2 linked regions of the Tribolium castaneum genome follow. The protein of the gene in region 2 purifies or fractionates together with the protein of the main gene of each other region. This does not show direct contact. Links are inferred from orthologs where the notes say so. Each region holds a gene or a part of one and is shown on either strand. Other genes may lie near its edges.

Evidence for each region.
Region 1: the proteins of Iml1 (region 2) and Wdr24 purify together in Homo sapiens (affinity purification with western blotting; 4 studies listed by BioGRID and IntAct, with this or other methods). This does not show direct contact. The link is inferred for Tribolium castaneum from reciprocal best matches to the Homo sapiens genes DEPDC5 and WDR24.

The regions. Positions count from the first base shown.
Region 1 is NC_087395.1:26,690,989-26,695,518, forward strand, and holds the start of Wdr24 (GATOR2 complex protein WDR24), read right to left. Parts: upstream 2,814-4,530; 5' UTR 2,598-2,813; coding exon 2,507-2,597; intron 2,450-2,506; coding exon 2,333-2,449; intron 2,284-2,332; coding exon 1,847-2,283; intron 1,505-1,846; coding exon 1,256-1,504; intron 482-1,255; coding exon 324-481; intron 273-323; coding exon 1-272. Other genes in the region: RISC-loading complex subunit tarbp2, read left to right, coding at 4,317-4,343, 4,461-4,530. UniProt on the Homo sapiens protein: Catalytic component of the GATOR2 complex, a multiprotein complex that acts as an activator of the amino acid-sensing branch of the mTORC1 signaling pathway. The GATOR2 complex indirectly activates mTORC1 through the inhibition of the GATOR1 subcomplex.
Region 2 is NC_087395.1:17,373,910-17,378,196, reverse strand, and holds the start of Iml1 (GATOR complex protein Iml1), read left to right. Parts: upstream 1-1,212; 5' UTR 1,213-1,433; coding exon 1,434-1,476; intron 1,477-1,525; coding exon 1,526-2,491; intron 2,492-2,540; coding exon 2,541-2,737; intron 2,738-4,287. Other genes in the region: dynein axonemal intermediate chain 4, read right to left, coding at 1-1,041. UniProt on the Homo sapiens protein: As a component of the GATOR1 complex functions as an inhibitor of the amino acid-sensing branch of the mTORC1 pathway.

The sequences.
Region 1 (4,530 bases), about 9.3 Mb from region 2:
TATTATTATTGCTATTGTTTTGTAAATACTCTTCGCCATACATCGTTTTCATTATTTTCCATACGACCGAAATTTGGTTTTTTCCGTATTGGTTTGCCACCGCCGAGTTATGTTCGCACATTTCGGATAAACTCCGTCCACTCAATATGTAATTCTTGGCTAAGCCAATAAAAATCTGTGATTCGGATTTGTTTTCGGTGGACAAGGTAAACTGATGCATTAAACTAGACGCTAGATGGAAAAGATCAGGTGCTTGAGTCGTTGATGTTTTCCTTCAAAATGACATTTTGCTTCATACTATAATTTTTTATTTCATTTTTTACCTTATTATACCAACTGATGGTGCTTTAACCAAGGTGCTAACATTGGTTTTGTGAGCGTACAAAATCTCGCCTCGATTATTTAACGAGACACCTTGGGGATTAGCTTTTTTCGCTGGCCGGCTAGCGTAATCGAACGAATGTTGATACAAAGTACTATCCTAAACAAACAAAAATTGTATACAGAAAGTTATATTTTAAAATATAGTTGTATTGATTAGCCTGATTATTTCTAAAGTTGGTATTAATGACACACAACGGGTGACTTAAAAATTGGGGCAAAAAAATCTACTGGCAACATTGAGCTTATTGGTGGATATGGTTTTTGTTTATCTACTGCCAAGGATGCGCTACCACCTTCAACTTTTTTTTTCAAATGTAACGGAATGTCAAGAGTACTTCAAAAGCAGTACAACACACTATTTGTTTTTTGAATACTTCCAAAGCCTACATGATAAAAAAATAAAAACCAATTTTTATTAATTGAAATTAGGTAAATCACACTCGAAATGTTACAAAATGGTAAAACTTTAACATATAAATTTGATAGTCAAAGTTGCCAAATTAAGATTTCAAATCTGTTGGCCAATCTAACGACAAGAATTCACAATCTTTAATAGGCTCCCGGTAGTTTTTTTAAAATTTTTTCTACTAGATTATACTTTAAATGATTCGTTAAATGGTTGTGACCTGTACTTTAATGAAACTCATTAAGTGTGGCGACCACAAAGACAACTTGTGACCAATGAGAATGTAATATGGCAGCAACTATTTTTAGATTTCCTTGAGCGTTTGACAATAGGCTAATATTTAAAAATAAATTTGACACTTAAAATCGTATTTTTTTTATATTAACTGGGCGGATCGTAATGTACGCTGTTCGCATTTAATGGCTATTAAAACATATAAAATACTATTTACTGAAAAAGTCATACCCGACCACTGCTGAGGAAAACATGAGGATCTTCTTTCCAAGCCACTCCACTTGGAGTATCCTTGTGTTCATTGAAAGAGGCATAAGGAATGTAGGGCCTCCTCACATCCCAAATATTTATACTACAGTCAACAACTAAAGCACATGAAGCTATATGAAACCGCCGTTGAGGGCGCCATTTGACATGTCCTATTGAAGCTATAGTATGAATGGTATATTCTAAAGTCAGTTTACTTGTCAAATCCCAGACCTAATAAAACGCGCATTTTATAAATATTTAAATCAAAACATCTTTAATGGACAGAGAATTTCATTTTTACCTCGCGGCTCTTATATTGATTGGGATTAAATACATACATATTATGTATCAATGTGACATTATTTCTGAAGTTAGTATACATCTAGGGTATACATCAAATTTAAAGTCAAACTGACAGTTTATTATTCAAATTAAAGTTTCAGCAATTTTCAAATATCACCCCATGTATTTTGTCCCATTTCTATTTTTTTAAGCCGTGAAATTTCATAATGCAACTAGCCGTTTATAAACAAAGTTCCCCATCTTTCAAAGACATTTTTAAAGAATACAAACTTTGATAGTTTTATCTCTACTGGCTGTGGCCAGCCACGTGTTCTCCGGATGCCAATCGCAGGCAAAAATGGGTCCACTGTGTGCAGCAAATTGCTGTTGGCATTTATCAGATCTTCTTACATCCCATAGTTGGACGCTTCCGTTTTCCGAAACGGCCGCAAAAGTATATGGATTATGAGGGCTGAACTGCACATCGCGGACACTCTCTGTGTTACTGTAAAAAATAGCAACTGCGTTTTTGGCGCGGATATCAAAATAACGCATCGTGCCATCTTGAGAGCCGGATATGAGTCTGTTTGGTTCACTGGCGTGAAAATTCACTTTGTTTACTGTACGTTTGTGTTCTTGATAATCTTGTTCTTGCATTGCTTTGCCCATTTTTGTGAGATTCCAAACACAGACATGGCCGTTGGTGGCGGCGGTCGCCAAATAATGGTCTGAAAACGAACAGTTATTGAACAAACTGTATGCACCTTCAAGTACTACCATCAGTCCAACTCCACGAAACATCGTTGCAAGAAAAGCTCAGATTGAGGTGTTTGGATGCTCGCAAGTTGCACACTTCGCGGAATTTGTCTTCTTCAATTGTGTAAACTTTGAACACTACAAAAATAAGTGCTTTGTAATGAATGAACAATTTTTCCTTTTAATTTGTGCTACCATTGCGTCCACCAATTGCCACTTGAGTATTGTCTCTATTTAAGGCTAAAGCATTTACAGGACCTTCTTGCAAAACGTGAAATGTAGCCATTGTTTACATATTCTTGACACTTCTTTGATAAAATCCAGCGATTTATAAATTTGACACTGATAAAGTTTAATTTATAATTACTACGTTCAGTCACGCGTTTACTTAGTCATTTTTTATTATAAAGAAATAGTTTTTAGTCATTTTTTTATATTTAACAAAAAAATGCGAGGTTAAAAGGAATAACCTAAAAACGTCAAGTCTGACGTTTCACGTTTCCTAGAAATCAGTAGCTTCCAAACAATTACCAGTTATAGCCATACAATACAACAGAGAAGCAGTACATTTTAATAATCAGAAGGGAAAAAGTGATTGTTATTAAAACATTTTATTTGGGTTAAATAAATGTTACATAACATATTTTTTACTTATCTGGGTGGTGGTGCCACCAAATCATAATTATAATTATCTCCGAGTGTGTAATAATTTTTACCATCATCATCTTTGGCCCAATTATTGAAGGGCGATGGTGGTTGTTTATGAACAACTTTAACAGGGGCAGACTTAAGTCCCATTCTGATGTATCCCACGATTGATGACATAATTAAACTCATAGTACTTAAAAGTATTGCAATGCTTGACATTACGGCCATAGTTTTAAAAGCTAACGGAAAAATAATAGATTTGATCATTAAAGCTCCGAAAAGAAGTGGTACAGTGTATTTGCTGCCACCTCCTTTTTTCTTTTTACGCGCTCCTTCCATTTCTAAAATTTTAAATTAGAAGAATTACACAATAGTATACAGTAACTTTTTTATTAAGTTTTCTTACCATTTGTAGCAATGAAACTGTCGAAGATAATTTCAGAGCTTGGAGAGAATGTTAACAAAAATACAAATACCAAAACAAGCGTTCGTAAACGCATCTTGGTCAGAAATGAGGATCTTGTGTGATTTTTTTACAGTCTAGTTGGTCGTAAATAGGCTAAGAATATGACAATTTTAAAATTACACATTTTTAAATAGTTTTCAAGCGGAAAATTGGGCGATTTGTGATTACTTTGACAAGAGGATGTTAAGAGATGTGTAATTGTAAATAAAATACATCAGTAAAAAGTAAAAATTATTGTTTTTGGATCAAATTTATTATTATTATCTTGCAAATATTAAAAAATAGTGAAATGACCAAAATTCATGTTGGTAACCACATTTTTCGTCGTTTATGGATTTCTAAAAAGAACAAAAGTTGGTAGCAACGAATTCCCGCTAAGTGGCGCTACTGTAGAATGTTACTTCTTCGCATGCGAACTGTTTAACCATTTGACGTTTGTGTCCATCAAAAAACGTCGCCATTACAGTGTTTATAGCGACGATTGTATTTCAAAGTGTAATAAAAAATTCTAAATAATTGTAAGTAATTTTACTGTTTTACATATAATTTTGCTACAATAGAGTTGTGTTGTCTATTGCGAATTATGGGTTGTTAGTGGAATATTTATGAACCTTCTTTACCGGCTCTTTTTACAAAAATTATAATAACAAAAAAATTTGGAGTAAATTTGTATTTTAAGTACCGAAACTAATAGTTTTAGTTAAAAATTTTGACCGTTGCTTTAGGGGTGTGAATGCGAAGGGGTCGCTTTGTTGAAACCGTTACCAGTTTCTCTCTCTTTTCTTTTGTGTTGTTGATTTAAAATCTTTGAGTTGTGTAGGGCGAATGGAATATAATTTGCTCGTTTTCTTCAGTACGGGAAGCGGAAATTAAGGGCCGACAAGCGGCGAGATGTTTGTACCTCCGCCAGTTGAACAGGTAAAGAAATTTAAAAAAATCGAGGATTTGTTATGCCTTTATTCTCGTGGTGATGGTCGGTTTTTTATTCGCGCCAGTTTTCCAATTGTCAAACCTTGCAACGATTTTTCTTTTCAGCAATTTCGCATGGACCCAAATATGACGCTTCTGCATTCCTCAAGTCAAATACACAACGTCCATCCTAGGA
Region 2 (4,287 bases):
CCCTTTCAGCTTCCCTTCAATTTTATCCGTCCTCATAATTTGTACACACTCGAGCTTCGCTTGGGTCACCAAGTACTTGCAAACCCGACCGTCGCCGAAACAAACCAGGAGAAATTCCTTCTGGTTTTGCTCCAGCCATACCATGTTCCAGGCCGGTTTAAACGAAGTGCTAGAGTCCTCCCCAACCATCTCAAAGTCCCTTTTGCTGACATCTATAACTAGGAGCTCCCCATTGTAGAACCCAACAGCCAGATAGTTCGGGTCTTTTGTTGAAAACGCAAGGGACGTGACCGGGTGTCTGAAGTAGTACTCGCGCTCGGGCTGTTTGGGATTTTTTATGTTCCACACCATCACAACCCCGGTCTTTCTCCGGTCAATAAAATAGTACTTGCCATAGCCCACAGCTACCATATCTTCGGTGAAAGAATTGAACGAGATCCCGGTAACGCACCTATTTTTCGTGTCTTCGTTGGCGAAAGTCCACAGCAAGTCCAGCTTGTAATCGTAGCGGATTTCCTCGGCCTCGTCCACCAACCCTTTGAACTTCTTCTGTTCGTTGTTGTAACAATTGTTGGCCAAAAGGCGTTCAATTACTAGAACAGCGTCGAAGTAGTTTTTATTCACTGACAACTTCTCCAACTCTTTGGTCTCTCGACTCTTCCTTAGTTCATCCAAAGACACTTCCGCAATTAACTCATGGTCGTTTGTTTCCTCCAACTCAACACTTTCAACAAAACTGGCATTGTAGGTATCATACATCTCCCAGTTTGAAGCAAACGTTGAGTTGTCCCTGAACTTGTACTGGACGGGTTCCGTGTTTCGCGTTTTCATTAAAACAGGCCTCGTTTGTACTCCAGTTGTTGCAACTTTGCGATTACGCCCTTTACCCTTTGTTAAGTATTCGTAAAGGCGGTTGTCCATCTCGGCGGCTTCGCCCTCGTCAGTGTCCCGCGGGACCACAGAACTTGGAAGTTCAAGCAAGAAAAGGGTTTCCGTCTCGTTTAACACAATAGTCACATGTTTTGGGATTTTTCGCAGCATTTTTAGCCAAAAAAAGTTTGATCAATTCTACCCCATTTATTTAAAATCGCTACCAACCCAACTTCAATACTCGACTAATTTTTAACACAGCGTAGGTGCCTCTGGTCTAGTTTTTATCTTGTTGCAAGGTGTTGGTCGTTGCGGTAACTTGTTGCTTGTTTATTGTCTAACCTCAAAAGTGACATTTTACAGTGAATGTCAAGACATAAATTATCATTTTTTAATCGAAATTAAAATGTTAATGCGATAGTTTGTAACATAATTAGTGTGTTATGTTGGTGGGGACTGTTAATTTTACATTTGGCACTTCTCGTCCCCCGTGCGATGAAAAACAATACGATGCAAAGTTCATGTGTGATTAGTTTACAAAAATAGAAGCAAACAATAACATCATGAAATTGTTTCGTCTTATCGTCCACCAGAAGAATTTCAGTGGTATGAGTCGAACAAGTTGTGACCGGTCAAGGTCAGTTGTTTTTTCCAGCTGAGGATTTAATCATCAACCCTAAAGACTACCCCGGTGCTAATTTGGGCGATATTGTGGAGATTTACCACCCGCCACCCGACGATGACAACCCACGTGGTAAGAAGAAGAGCGAGCCTGAGGAAGAATACCCAAGGTTGTTGCTCCAAATTAAAACGTTTCCGGACGATACAACCCAGCAAAATGCCTTACAAAAAGACACAATCAGCGTGGAGCAGAGCATAGCTCAGGCTTTCGGTCTGCAGGCGTACAAGAACGTGATAATCCGTATTGTGGACCCGCCTGACATTGCGCTTGACTCAATTGAACTTACCTTTAAAGACCAGTACATGGGGCGCTCTGAGATGTGGCGCTTGAAAAACAGTCTTATTAACACTTGTGTGTACATCAAAAAGAACATTGAGTTCTGTGGGGGCGCTGTGCGTTGCCAGGTCTACGAGATGTGGTCAATGGGCGACAGAGTCGCTTGTGGGGTTATCACAGAAGACACGAAAGTCGTTTTCCGCTCCTCCACATCCATGGTTTATCTCTTCCTGCAAATGTCGTCGGAAATGTGGGACTTTGATATTTACGGCGACTTGTACTTCGAAAAAGCCGTGAACGGGTTTTTGGCCGATTTGTTCATGAAGTGGAAGAAGAACGGGAGCAACCACGAAGTGACGATTGTTTTGTTTTCCCGCACGTTTTACGAAGCGAGTAACTTGGAGGCGTTCCCTCTCCACATGCGAGAGTGTCTCCAGAAGGATTACAAAGGCCGATACTACGAGGATTTTTACAGGGTTGCGGTCCAGAACGAGCGCTATGACGACTGGAGCGGGATTTTGGTCCAGTTAAGGCGAATTTTTTCCGAATATTTGAAAATTGTCCTCGAGTATCACAAAAGGCCAGGGTTGGATATTCCAGCTGCGACGAACAGTACAGCAGCTCAGGGGAATTTTCTAGAGGTGTTAAACATGTCCCTGAATGGTATTTATTTGTGGTCATGGTTTATACATTCTGATTGTTTTTTTCTCAGTTTTTGAGAAGCATTATTTGGATCGAAGTTTTGATAGGACTGGGCAACTCAGTGTTGTGGTTACACCGGGTGTTGGTGTTTTTGAAGTTGATCGAGAGTTGACTAATATTACGAAACAGAGAATTATCGATAATGGGGTTGGGAGTGATTTGGTGTGTGTTGGGGAACAGCCACTGCACGCAGTTCCGCTTCTAAAGGTATTATTTGATTTAATAGGAGGGCTTAATGACCGGATTTTTTTGCCTTAAGTGCCAGTTGAAAAAAAAAACAAACCCAAAACGAACATATTTATTTCGCAAAAAAATGTTATTTTTTAAGCTTGTAATTTCGTATTTCCAGTTAAGTCGTATGTCATAAAATACTTATTGAAGGTAGCTAACATATAAAAGAATTTTGTTATTTAATTCTATTACTGTTAAGTAGACGGAATGGGAATTAGGTACGTCTGCATAAGTATTAAAACATAACCAAATTAGTTGGTCAAAAATTGTTATTATTTTACTAGAATACACATAAATATTACATAATAATTAATAAGCTTATAAGTATTAACGTAATAACACTTTAACTAAAGATAAACAAAAAAATTGATATGAAAAAAATTAAATAATAATAATTATTATTATTATTAATGAAATATATTTATATTAATGACTAATGAAATGATGAATAATTTAATTACTTGTTGGATTGATAATTCAAGGATTCGTAACATGATAACTAAATATAAAATCTCGCTAGAAAACAATCTTTATTTATGTAATAATTATTTTAATACTTTAATTTGCTCAAATGACCTAGCAGATCCAAAGGAATCAATTATGTAATGGGAACTATAGATGTATAACAGAAAGAAAAAAAAAGAAAGTAAGGAAGAATCAGTAACTATTTTAAATGAAAAAAACAGATTCTAAAGAAAAGGTTACTTGTGATCTTTTTATAATAATAATAACAATATAATAATAATAATAATGTTTTTTCAAATATTTTCCAGAAAACAAAGCACTGTAGCACTGCATGAGTATAATTATAAAAGGCGCTCCGAATTAAAATGTTTTATTGTTTTTTTAAATGAATTGATATTTAGATCCTTTATTTTGTTGGGCAAAAGATTATAAAATTTTATAGAGTGATGTTTCATTGCTGTTTTTGTTCGCGTTAGTCGAATCTCATTTTGACAAATTTTTTCCTTGCAATTGTAATCATGATAATAACCATTGGAATTTTTTTATAGATGTTAGACTTTAGGTATAGTACACATAAATAAAAAACAGTGACGGCAAGGTTAATACTTATAATTTTTTGAAGGCCTCTTTGCAGTCAGCCCGATAGGGTATGCCAGCAACAACGCGAATCGCACGCCTGTGAAGAGAAAAAATACGATATAAACAGGATGAATGTCCCCAAACTTTTAAGCCATACGATTTTATTAGAGAGTATTAGAGTAAATTACATGCCAAGTAACTAATTAGGAGTACGAAATTATATTTTTGGCTTCTAAAGATATTATTAATTCGTTGTTATTGCTTTTTGTTAGGACTTACTCCTTTTATCTCAAAAATTTGAGATTTTTGGATTGAAAATAAAAATAAATACCTATCCCAAATAATTTTTATTTTTCAGACAAGACAAGACTACACTGTTTACTGTAATTTTTAATACTACAAGAAAAGTAACCATCGTGGAATTTTTTAGTTACTTGGATGAGCTAGTGAGCTAGATATCACCGTTTATAATAGAAAATTTA